Kluyveromyces lactis: one gene and its partners. Each later gene encodes a partner of the first gene's protein in a complex. Links are inferred from orthologs where the notes say so. Each region holds a gene or a part of one and is shown on either strand. Other genes may lie near its edges.

The links.
Region 2: RKR1 (region 1) and CDC48 share a complex: the UniProt entries of both Saccharomyces cerevisiae proteins name them as parts of the ribosome quality control complex. The link is inferred for Kluyveromyces lactis from reciprocal best matches to the Saccharomyces cerevisiae genes RKR1 and CDC48.
Region 3: RKR1 (region 1) and RQC2 share a complex: the UniProt entries of both Saccharomyces cerevisiae proteins name them as parts of the ribosome quality control complex. The link is inferred for Kluyveromyces lactis from reciprocal best matches to the Saccharomyces cerevisiae genes RKR1 and RQC2.

The regions. Positions count from the first base shown.
Region 1 is NC_006039.1:1,243,887-1,248,063, forward strand, and holds the start of RKR1 (ubiquitin-protein ligase RKR1), read left to right. Parts: upstream 1-1,339; coding exon 1,340-4,177. Other genes in the region: Hsp90 cochaperone SBA1, read right to left, coding at 107-661. UniProt on the Saccharomyces cerevisiae protein: E3 ubiquitin-protein ligase component of the ribosome quality control complex (RQC), a ribosome-associated complex that mediates ubiquitination and extraction of incompletely synthesized nascent chains for proteasomal degradation.
Region 2 is NC_006042.1:553,087-557,351, forward strand, and holds CDC48 (AAA family ATPase CDC48), read right to left. Parts: upstream 2,813-4,265; coding exon 320-2,812; downstream 1-319. Other genes in the region: HNT1 (adenosine 5'-monophosphoramidase), read right to left, coding at 3,454-3,848, 3,997-4,048. UniProt on the Saccharomyces cerevisiae protein: ATP-dependent chaperone which probably uses the energy provided by ATP hydrolysis to generate mechanical force to unfold substrate proteins, disassemble protein complexes, and disaggregate protein aggregates.
Region 3 is NC_006042.1:2,527,357-2,531,486, forward strand, and holds the start of RQC2 (Rqc2p), read right to left. Parts: upstream 2,873-4,130; coding exon 1-2,872. Other genes in the region: deadenylation-dependent mRNA-decapping factor PAT1, read left to right, coding at 3,592-4,130. UniProt on the Saccharomyces cerevisiae protein: Key component of the ribosome quality control complex (RQC), a ribosome-associated complex that mediates the extraction of incompletely synthesized nascent chains from stalled ribosomes as well as their ubiquitin-mediated proteasomal degradation.

The DNA of each region.
Region 1 (4,177 bases):
AAATTTTTGTTCGTATTTATACACCTATATATGCGCATGACTGTATACAGCAAATAAATGAATTAAATCTTGATAGAAATCGCCTTTGCAGACCATCCGATCATACCTATTCAGCTTTTTCTTCGTCATCTTCATCATCTTCTTCTGGTAATGCCTCATCCAGGTTGATTCCGGCGTCAGCGAAGGCTTGTGGATTGAAACCTTGTTCCATTCCAGGGAAGCCAGCGCCCCCCATTTGGCCAAATTGTGACATCAAGTCGTTATCAGCAGCAACATTCTCTTCTTGTTCATCTTCGTCAACCCATTTATCAAAGTCGGTTTTAATGTAATGATACTTAAGCTTCTCCTTGGTCAATCTGGGCCAGTATTCAAGGCCTAAATCTTTCTTCCTTAACACCAAAAAGTAGTTTCTACCGTTAGCTACCCTCTGCTCCGAGTTTTCCGTATCAATTGGCTTGTAGAAGTCAATGTGCAAATGGTATTTGATCCCATCTTTACTGTGATACTTAGATAGTGCACTGAATTCCAAAGAATTTTCGGTTAATTCCATTTTAGGGTTCGTACAGTCTGGAATATTGATGGTAATGAACAAATTGTTCTTGGTATCATCGGATTCGCTTGAACGTTGAGCCCATAAAACTTCTGGAGTGTGAACTGACATGTTAATTTGATTTATTGATTGGTAATTGGCGGTTTAAGTGTAATTTGTTCCAATTGTACTCTCTTTGTTTGAGTAACAGTTTGTATGTGAACGCAATATTTGTTATTAACATTTTCTGTAACTGCTTCAAATTTCAAGGTTACCTTTAAATATAAAACAGAAGAGCAGGAAGCTTCTAGATAAAATTTAACGATATGGGAGAGAGAGACAAGATACAACACCAACCACCACCAGTCATACATCCTTTTCCGAAAAATACCAAGCTAGCAATGTGCACTTACAAAGACTCTATATGTGGATCAATTTATAGACAGTGATGGTTGGAGACTTTCGAAGTTCTTTCAAGAAACCATCTAGGTCACGTGATATATATGTATATATATCCACACACTAGGATTGAGCTGATTTCGCCTCAACAAAGGGAAACTTCGACCTCTGAATTTTAGCAACTGGAAAATTTCCGCTAATCCTGGTCATTCGTACTGCGTATAGTATATTCATATGTATATATCCCTCCGCTGTATGCGTATGCAAGACTTATATAAGAAAGTGAAAAAAAAATTAGGTACTTGAGATTTCGTTTCTACTGCACATCATCAGCAATTAACGAAAGGTCTCGATCAAACCGAAAAGCAGTAACTCATACGGGCCATTCATAGTAACGGTCATTTGAATACTATGTCATTTAACACTAACGTTTTTACTGACTCTTCATCAACTTTAGGATTAGGCTACAATGGTGTTAAAGTAACTTTGAACTATTTCGATGGTCTACCGATATTGCAAAACGTTCAATCTACTGACTTGCAATTGTGTTTCAAGTCATTACTAAAGCGAGCGAATACTACCAAGGAAAAGGCTTTGAATGATCTTTTATCCTTTATACAAGATGACGATAAACTCTCTATTTTCCAAGATGATATGTTCATACTATCATGGTGCCAAATTTATGCAAAGTTGATCTCGTCTGATTCGAAGACTATAAGAATCCAGGCACATCAATTCACTGCTACTTTGATAGCGAAGTTTGGGAAACGTGTGTCCAAGTTTCTGAAAGAGCTTATCCCAATGCTTTTGAGTGGACTCTTCGATGTAGATACGGCGGTTGGAAGATCATGTTCTGATAGTTTGCTCAACTGTTTCAAGGACTCTAATAAAGTTAACTCATTATGGAAACTATTCACCTCAGAGATTTTAAATTTTATTAAACAGGTTATTATAGTAGAAACTGCAAAGTCCATATCCGATGAAAGATATTACACAAAGGAAGACATTTCATTGAGATATAATCAATTATTAATTGCATCCATCCGCACTTTAACTAAACTTATTAGTGTCGAGGAACTTACCACTGATCAAATGGAGACTTTGCACGAAATACTCACAGATGAAGAATTCTGGAATAACCTAAGTTTAAAAGATACAAAAAATTTGAAGGGATACCAGTCTCTTTTACATCTAATGATTGAACTTCGGTCTAGACAACTATATCGAAAAAACAAGGAAGCTTTGAAACTTGCCTCCAAGAAATTACTCGTGTCGTTGTCACAATGTAACGCAAAAACTCTTATTTCAGTATCATCTGTTTTACCTGACATTTTGAAAACGTTGTTGGAGATGAACAAGTACAAAGATGGTAAATTCTGGTCTTATGAAAAGAAAAGTAAAGAGCGATTACTTACATTCCTCTCATTGGGGCCTGGAATATCGGATCCAGTATATTACTCTTTGGCATATCAACTTTCTGCTGAATCGAGCATACTTGAACATCAAGAATGGCTCTCGATCTGGATCAAATATCTCGATCATGAAAATGATCGGCGGGTACTAGGTCGGAATGGATACAAGTCATTGATCGAGGCTTGGAAAAATTGCATCAAGTTTAGTATTTCATCATCGGACCAAGACAGCATTCAACAACTTCATCCTAACATCTTAAGGCTTATCACCACCAAAGACCTAAAGGAAATTCCTGAGCTTGTTTTAGAGTTATCACCTACACGCATCAACTATGCTTTTTTATACGATCTAATCATTGATCTACTTCCTTTGGGTAAAGGTGAAAAAAGAAAGGAAGTCTTACTTATATCCAATACCTGTCTCATTTTGTCCAGTGATATCACAACTATGCATATGTTGAGCGTTGAAGTTATGAAATCTTTGGAGGAGTTGGAAAATCCTGACGATCTTCCTTCTTGTTATGGCTTCATTTTCTACGATAACTTGATCAAAACCAATAACTTGAACCTTACCAAAGAGATTAATACTTTTATCGACGTATTACCCACGTTAGTCTCTGAGGCTTTCTTCAAAATTCCAATGGATGTGATGATAGATTTTTCAAACTCTGCATTCTTAGCGAATTCTACTTGGGAACAGTATTTTGACGATTTTATAATGGTTTTATCCCAATATGAAACACCAAAGAAGGCAATTCCTTCGTTTTTGGCTCGCTTGAATAGTGAATTTCTCTCAAAACTCATGCATTCAAGTCAATCCTACAAGGATTTCACCGAAGATTTTGTCTCCACTTATCAGTTTGATGATGATTCTATTTTCAAATCAAAAATACTAAACGGTTCTCTTCTACTCAGGTTATATGAAGCTTCTAAGAAGCAAGGTCATGTCAAGGCATTTAAAGATTATTGCACCGAAATTCCAGAAACAAGCGAAGCATATATAACTCTATTATCAAATTCAGATTTTCTATCACAGAGTCTAATTGTTGATCAAAAAGTTACAATACCAACTACAGCACATTCTGACCAAACAATTGCAAATGCTGTTTTTAAGACTGTTCTCGATACTATATCCGTTGAATGCTTGATAACGGAAGATAGCATTGATGAATTTGTTCTTCAACTACAACAGGAGTCCTTACTTACCAGGCTTTTTATTAGTTTAGATTTGGAAGTCATGTTTTCCAGATACATCAATAAAATCGATACACGCACATCCGTCACTTCTCCCTTAGGCTTACTGCCACATATATTGACAGCTAAAGGAGACGCTTCATTAGTCGATTATTTGAAATTGATTAGACTGTCACAAGTTGTGGATAAGATCTTAACCCGGTTCCCAGATGAAGTCAGTACTTCGCATTTGTTGTTTTTAACGAGATGCTACGAATTAACTGCTGATTATAATTGTTTGAGCGATGAACAAATAACATATTTCCATGAAAACAACATATTCTCCTCCTGTGTGAATGTCTCTTTCGAAGATTTGATCTCTTCATTTACAGAAGACCAAAGCAATGAAATTCTCACTGTTCTCTTCGACAAGAACTCTTCGGAGGTCACATCCTTTTACAATTGCAAAATTATCTATAGAATTTGCCTCAACAGTGTTGACTATCTCTCTATCTCTCAGTTTGATAAAATTATGGATGGCTTCTTGCGAACTGCTAGAAGTTTGCTTTCTAGCAAGGCATTGCTTGTCCCACGTACTCTTTACATGTATGCGATTTTCGCTGCAAGCTTCAAGTTTAACACAGTAAGTGCCAATTTATGTGTC
Region 2 (4,265 bases), on another chromosome or scaffold:
TCGCACATATATGTATTCATTAATATAATTTGGTTTTACTTCGGAGACCCTGTATTGCTTTGCCTGGCGAAAATATACCATTGCACTACTAGGTCGAATTAAAGATGAATTCAAGACCCAAAATTGGAAGGGATAGCTAAGACTGATGAATCTTTTAACCATATTAAAACCAGTTATCTCAAATATCCTGTTACACGTGATTAATAGATAATATTTAATCTCTACGTAAATTTAGCAACAAGTATTCCTCTGTATTGTAATTTATTACATTTCATTTTGCATCGAAAAAGACCTGTTATGTTTTGTGAAGGTTATGTATCTAACTGTACAAATCATCGTCATCTTCACCAGCGGCATCTCCGAAAGCTGCACCAGAACCCTCAGCACCAGCTTGAGTTGCGGCAGCACCTGAATCATCACCAAACGAGAAGTTGCCGAATTGTCCTCTGGATGCCTTCATCTGTTGAGCATAAGCTTCGTAACGACGAAGCTCAGTATCTGTAACAGAACGCTTGGCTGTTTTCATAGCTTCAGTGAAGTGTTCTTTGGTAATGAATGGAACTGGATCCTCTTGTTGAACGTCTGACATTTCAACGTCTTCTTCTGTCTTGACCTTCTCGGTTTCTTCTGCACCTTCTTCTTTCTTGACAACTTCTGCACGTTTTTGTGCCTCGATGGAATCTTTAATGGCAAACTTCGCAGCTCTCTGTACGATATATAATAAATCTGCACCAGAGAATCCCTGTGTAGCTTGAGCGATGGTCTTTAGATCTAGTCCTGGTTCTAATGGTGTATTTCTTAATTGGGCTGATAGAATAGATAATCTTCCTGTTTCGTCTGGTAATGGAACGTAGATCAATTGATCCAATCTACCAGGTCTTAAAATAGCTGGATCGATTTGATCTGGTCTGTTAGTGGCACCAATAACGAAAACGTTCTTCTTGGCGTTCATACCATCCATTTCGGTCAATAATTGGTTAACCACTCTGTCAGATGCACCACCTGCATCACCTAAAGAACCACCACGAGCCTTAGCAATGGAGTCCAATTCATCTAAGAAAACGACAGTTGGGGCTGCAGCTCTGGCTTTGTCGAAAATATCACGGATATTGGATTCGGACTCACCGTACCACATACTTAATAACTCAGGACCCTTGACCGAAATGAAATTAGCAGACACTTCGGTGGCGACAGCCTTAGCTAACAAAGTCTTACCAGTACCAGGAGGACCGTAGAACAACACACCCTTCGATGGTGACAAACCAAACTTGGTGTATTGATCTGGATGCAAGACTGGATATTCGACGGTTTCCTTCAATTCATCCTTAATTTCATCCAAGCCACCGATATCATCCCATGTGACATTAACAGATTCTACAACGGTTTCACGCAATGCGGATGGGTTGGAGTTACCCAATGCAAATCTGAAGTTGTCCATAGTAACTCCTAATGAGTCCAACACTTCGGCGTCAATTTCGTCTTCATCTAAGTCAATTAGGTCCATCTTTTCACGAATTTGTTGCATAGCAGCTTCAGAACATAGGGAGGCAATATCAGCACCAACATAACCATGGGTTTCAGCGGCCAACTTTTCTAAGTCGACGTCGTCAGCCAACTTCATATTTTTAGTGTGAATACGTAAGACTTCCAATCTACCAGTAACGTCAGGAACACCAATATCGACTTCTCTATCAAATCTACCGAATCTTCTCAAAGCAGGATCGATAGAATTGGGTCTATTGGTGGCTGCAATGACAACGATGTTGGATCTAGCCTTCATACCATCCATTAGAGTCAATAATTGAGAAACGACTCTTCTTTCCACTTCACCGTTAGTCTTGTCACGCTTTGGTGCAATAGAATCAATTTCATCGATAAAAATAATGGCCGGAGCATTCTTTTCTGCTTCTTCGAAAGCCTTTCTCAAGTTGGATTCAGATTCACCAGCCATCTTGGACATGACTTCTGGACCATTGATTAAGAAGAAAAATGCACCTGTCTCGTTAGCCACAGCTCTGGCCATTAGAGTTTTACCGGTACCTGGAGGACCGTACATCAAAATACCCTTCGGAGGTTTGATACCAATGGCCTTAAATAGTTGTGGGTGTCTCAATGGCAATTCGACCAATTCTCTAATTTGAGCCATTTGCTTACGACAACCACCAATATCATCATAACCGACTTCATTGATGTTATTTTCTTCATCTTCTCTGTTAATTGGCTCACCTTCACTATGAATGACAGTATCTTGGGCAACAACACCGTACTCTTCAGGCTCAACGTCTACGACCTTGAACTCTACTTGTCTCATACCACCTCTAACGATAAAGTGGTCACCTTTTCTAACCGGTCTATAAGCTTCGACAAAGTATGGCTTCAAGTACACATCAAATAGATTACCAGTCAACCCCTCGATGGTGTCAGCGATTGGCAACACTGAGATTCTGGAAGCATACTTGATATCGGTACATGGATGGATAGTGACCAAATCACCGAGTCTTATTCTCAAGTTGTTACGAATAACACGGTTTACTCTACAGACACCATCTTCCAGTTCGTCATCAATCATAACAATCAAAACGGTGTCCTTTCTCTTCTTACCCTTGACTAAAACGGTGTCACCACGGAACAATTGTAAAAGATCCATAGTGTTAGAATTGATAGCAATGATAGAATTGTCATCGTTAACTGCATCATCGACCAGTAACATGTTTTGCTTCTTCTTTCTTCTCAAGATGGCAGTGGCGGTAGCATCATCTGCGTCAGCTGCAGTGCCAGAACTATCTAACAATTTCTTATGTTCTTCTGGCATGTTCTCTTAATAACTGAGGTGAAAAGTTGTTTTAAAGATACTGTAATTCCTTCTGGTAGGATCCACGATGTAATTAAGCTCTTGGTAAACAGGATATGCAGGTTTCTTGATTAACTTCTGAAATTGGACCTTATTTCTTCTTATTTCAACCAAAAGACGGAAGATAAAACAAAAATTAAATAACTTGATCTAACCCCTAATCTGGTGATTCAATGATTCAATTAAAGGAGACAATTATTGTAAATCCCTGGTGAGTGCTTTATTTAATCTAGCGTTCACTTACTGGTGTTAATCCTGAAAATAACCTTCAAGGATCACCGAAAATAGTGTGCAATACTTATATATAATAAATCGCTTCCCTCTTTATAATCTAGAGATTTCAGAATTTGCCACCGGATATGTGAAATTTCGGCCGGGTAACAATATTTTTTCATCTCCTCTCTAAGAAGATCCCTCCCACAATGCGAATGAGCTATTGGATTCCTTATGTGAATGGTAAGTAGAAATTGGTACAGTAGGAAATATGTAGTTATAATATATATGAGACGATCTCAATGATCATCTTCGTTAGCTTCGTCAGCTTCGTCAGCTTCGTCATCTTCGTCATATCTTGGTCTCTTTCATTGCGAAAAAGATCGCGCTTAGGTTTCTAGTTTGGCAAGCAACTTTTTATGCATTTCACTCAGCTTAGCAAAATCAGTTTCCTGTGCAGGCCAACCTACGATTAATCCAGCATCCTTTGTTTTCTTTGGGATCAAATGGAAATGCACGTGATCTACTTCTTGATGGGCTATTCTACCGTTGTTTTGAAGGACATTGTACCCTGGACCATCAGGACCATCTTGGTCGAAGCCAATGGCTTTCACTAACTTCTTAGTAACTGGCAACAGGTCAGCTAAGTATTCATCTGGGATGTTGTGCAATTTCCCACCGTGGTGCTTTGGAATGATAAGAATGTGGTTCTCTTCAGTTGGTTGGATGTCAAGGAACGAGTAAGAATACTGAGTTTCAACCAATTTGAAAGAAGGGATTTCACCTGAAAGTACACCAGTAGTGGAATCTGTTAGTATTATAGTTCATAAGATCAAAGAGCTAGTCTAAGCCACTTGGGTGGTTGCGAGCATGCAAAAACCAAGGGGAGAAACAGATATTTGTTCTCACCTAACAATTTGAGGTTTACATACCTTTGATAATCTTGCAGAAAATACAAGCAGCGTCGTGGGCAACAGCACTCATTGGTATCGGCTTATTAAACGTTTGAATTCACACGTATCGGTACTTATTGCAATATTTCTTTCGACTGCGAAAATGTTGGAGAATCTGCAACTAATTGGAGTTCAGTCTTTTTTCATCATTATACATTTGTGTATTGGCCCTTATATATATGTTCTTATGATATAAAAAAAAACCAAGTTCTAGAAAACTAGAATAGTTGGTGACACGACATGAGAAT
Region 3 (4,130 bases), on another chromosome or scaffold:
TCAAGAAGTAATGTAGAGTTTCATTAATAGATTTGCTCTTCTTTGCAGTGCCAGGCTGTATTTTGACTTTATACTTATTTTTAGTTAAAGCAGCCCAGGGGGCATAGACAGGGATAACGTCAGCTATTTTATCATCTTTGGAAATACCGGTTTTCAATTGATTCAAAAATTTTGGAATATCAACTTCGACCTTTTCTGATTTGTTAAACTGCAAGATGCGAGTTTGCTCTTGGTTTTTACGTATCCGCTTTTTAAACTCCCTCTTTTCGGCTCTTTCCATCTCTTCAAGTTTTTTTTGCTTCTCTCTTTCAATACCTTTTAATGTTCCAAGTGCTTCTAGTCTCAATAATCTTTCTTCTTCATCTTGGTCAAAGTACTTCTTTTGGATTTTTTTCAATTTCCCTCTCTTACCACGAACCGCTGTATTCATATTTTCAACAATTGAAGTAGCTATAGTCTTACTCTCATCAAAATCCTCTTCACCTTTGGATAAATCACTATTTGAGAGTTTCTCGTACCCATCAGTGGCCTCTTCTCCTGCTAAAGCCACTTCATCGAAATTGTTGACATCGAACCCTAGATCATTAATTTCTTTTGAAATAACGTTTACATTATTATCAATTTGGTCGACTGGGTTTGTTTCCGGCTGAGAAGTATGACTTGTATCATCGTCAGATGCTTCTAAGTCACTATTTTGTTCATACTCACCCTCTTTTTCCTCGCTATCCTCTGTCTTTACTTTCCACACAAGTCCTAATCCCATCACTAATTGTGCTGGTGGCAACATGTTTTTAGCTTTAGGTTGTTTCATTCTAAATGATCCAACTGGAAGAACACTGCCATCAATGTCGTCAAATTTCGTTACATTTTTAGCGAAACACCACCAAGGAGAGGATGCAATCTTTTTTGACCATGCATCACTTGCAGAATTTGCAAAAGTACCAGCTTGCATTAGTGTGTTTGGTGGTACTTCAGTCTTCTGAGGGTTCAAAATCCAAGCCTTCACGTCAAATGCATTGGTGACCATAATGTCATCGTCATTAACATACTTTGCATAAAGTTGATCAGTTTCGACGGGACTCTTACCCATCAGTACGAGAAAACTTTCGCTAGAAATAAACCAGTAATATTTTTCGAAAAAATATGGAGTTCTAATTGCTTTCAAGATATCATGAGATTCCTTTGACTTCTTTTGTAGATCTTTTTCGATCTTTTGCTGGATACTTTTTAAAGCCTTTTCAGCATTCTTCTCAACTTTTTTTTGTTTCTCTGATGTCGCCTTTTTGGCGTTGAAATAACTGGAGGCGTTTGCAAATGCCGATAAAGATAAATCGACTGTCAGCAGAACAGTTTCCCGTTTCTCTGATGTTATCTTGGATTTTCTTCTACTTTGCTGTTTACTTTTGGATGAAGTTAGTTCTTCAAAATCAGAATCAGAATAATCCGATGAGACAGAGGAATCTGATTGGTTAACATCACTTTCGTTTGATGAATAATCAGCTTCTGACTGATGATGTTCAGTAGAATCATCCTCGCTGTACCCATCTTTTGGTAATTCAATGGTAATTTTATTATTTGGTAAATCCATTGGCAGCTTAATGATCCGAGCAATCTTGTTGCCTTTCCGCTGCTCGTTTGCTATTAAAGTTTCCATACTTTGCCAGTCCATTTGTTGGTCCAATAAGCTTTTAACTGCATTCTTGGCCTCTTCTACTAAATTTGCATTAGCTATCAAAATGTTTCCTTTTTCTTCGTTAGTTTGTTGTGCATGTAATAACGATTTTATAATAGTTTCATTGTTATTCTTTGCCTCATCCAATTTTTTTTGAGCCTGGAAATCCTGATTTTGGATACGGCTAGCATATTTGTTTGATTCTATTGTAGAAAAGAATGTGTCTACGGTATTATTGTACATTCCGCCGATTTCGATAATTTTGACGTCAGTGGAATCTCCTACAAAGGGTTTGAAGGGATGGAAATTTGAAAAAGTGTATTCAAGTTCCGGCTTGTCTCTTAAAGGATCGTACAGTTTGTTCTTATGAGCCACTATATAACCTATTCTTGTTGACGTAGTCGAGATCAATTTATTTGCTTGAACTTCTAATGAGGACATTAAGTCAACAAGCACAGAGACATTGTGTTTAAACTCAAGACACGAAGAAGATGGATCAATACCAATAGCTTTCAACGAGTTTTGAATCAAATCACTTGATAAATGTGGAGCATGAACAAATAAAAGTTTTTGAATAGACGGAACAGATGCTTTTCCCTTGAGTTTACCTTTTTTAGCCTCTCCGGGCACAATTGTGCTTTTGGCTTTAACGTCGGCTTCTTTCAACCAATCTGCTATTTCATTTTCGAAATATTCCTTAGGATCAGGAACCGTAGTTGAAGTTTGGTTAATTTCTGCAAAGTTGGCCATGTCATAAAATTCACCAACTTTCATCGAATAATCATCGACAACTCTCTGTAGTAAAAGAATTTTTTGGTCAGCATCCAATAAAAGCACATTTCCGGCACTGAAAAATTCTAAAACAAGGTAGTACTTACCATCAGCAAAAGTAAACACAATTATTCTGTCATTTGGGATCTGCTTAACTGCCGTCAATCGTTTTTCTTTCAAATACGATCTCAATTTGGAAACAAACCACGAAGGAGTCGGGGGAATCGGCCTGGTAAAGTCAGTAGTATGAACTCGCAATCCGCAATCAATGACAACGTTTAACTTGGAATCGGGTTTTCCAAACTTTAATAAGAATTGCCTGTTTGAGTCAGCAATGTTATAGATATTTCTTAAGCGAAATCCTACAATTTGATTCTCCAACTCTTTGGATATCAGTTGCAAATCTAACGAACTCAATCTCTGTTTCATTTTCTAGTATCAAATCCAAGATTATAGTTTAGATATTTCGTACTCTCCAAGTTGCAGTTAAGTCCACTTTACCAGTCTGAGTTGATTCTTTTCGAGCACTATACTTGATTCAGATCTTCATACAAATCAGTATTTTCACTGCTAATCAGATTAAAATTATTAGAACTTGGTCACTGCTATTAGATCAGATATCTTTTATTACTTAGGTTTAAGACTAAACTGCTAAGCTGATATATTTTCCAGATAGCTGTACCTAGGATGTTAGTAGTATATGTCATCTTTGTCTATTCGCAATCACTTTATATATGCTGCTAATGAAGGAAAGAAAGACTACGTACGAGTTTGTATTGGAACTTTCTAAACTACCATGTTGAAAAATGTCAAATATTTGAAATCACATGACCTGAATTTCAAATTTTGAACTAGAAATCCTTAATATGTATATCATCTTGCACGGTGAAATTTTTCATCAAACAACAACCCAAAAATGTAATTCACTTAACAAGCAAAGTAGTTTCTATGCTCAAAAATAAGTGATCAGAGATATTCAGAGACCGTTTGTTGGAAGATTGCTTGAACGAAACGCAGGCAGGTAGCGACTTAAATCACATTACTTGTGTTTTTAAGAGAATATAATAGGATTTGTCGACAATTCTGATCTAGAAATCGATTTTTGCCCAATTAGTATAGGAGTCCTTATATTCCTGAATCACTGAACGATGTCATTCTTCGGTTTTGACGCCACGGGCCGAAAACCTCGTGAGAGGAAACAGCAAGGCGAGGAGGATTCTTTAGATTTCGAAGAAACGTATCAAGGCTTGGGTGATTATGAGCCAGAGGAAGATGATTTGCTCAATGATGAAACTTTTGGTACTGGAGCGGATCTGGGTACAGATTTTGATTTTGGTTACGGTAAAGGGGAGCTTGGCGCTGGTTCAGGTTCTGGTAGGGCACCAGCACCAGCTCCTGTTTCTTATGCATCTATTGCAAATGCCAAAATGAACAGACAAGCAGACTGTAAACCTGGTTTCGAACAATCGCTGGACATGCAACCTATGGAATCTTTATGGGGTAACAGCTCCGGTAATCAGCAACAACAGGTGCAACCTCAAGCCCCTACACAATTCCAAGCCCCACCACAGGTTCAACAGCAAGGTGCACCTAATGTGGAAGGATTGGCCATTCAATCTTTAGACAGACAACAACAGATGGCTATGCCGCCTCAACCTGGATTCTATGGTATGCAACCTCCGCAGAA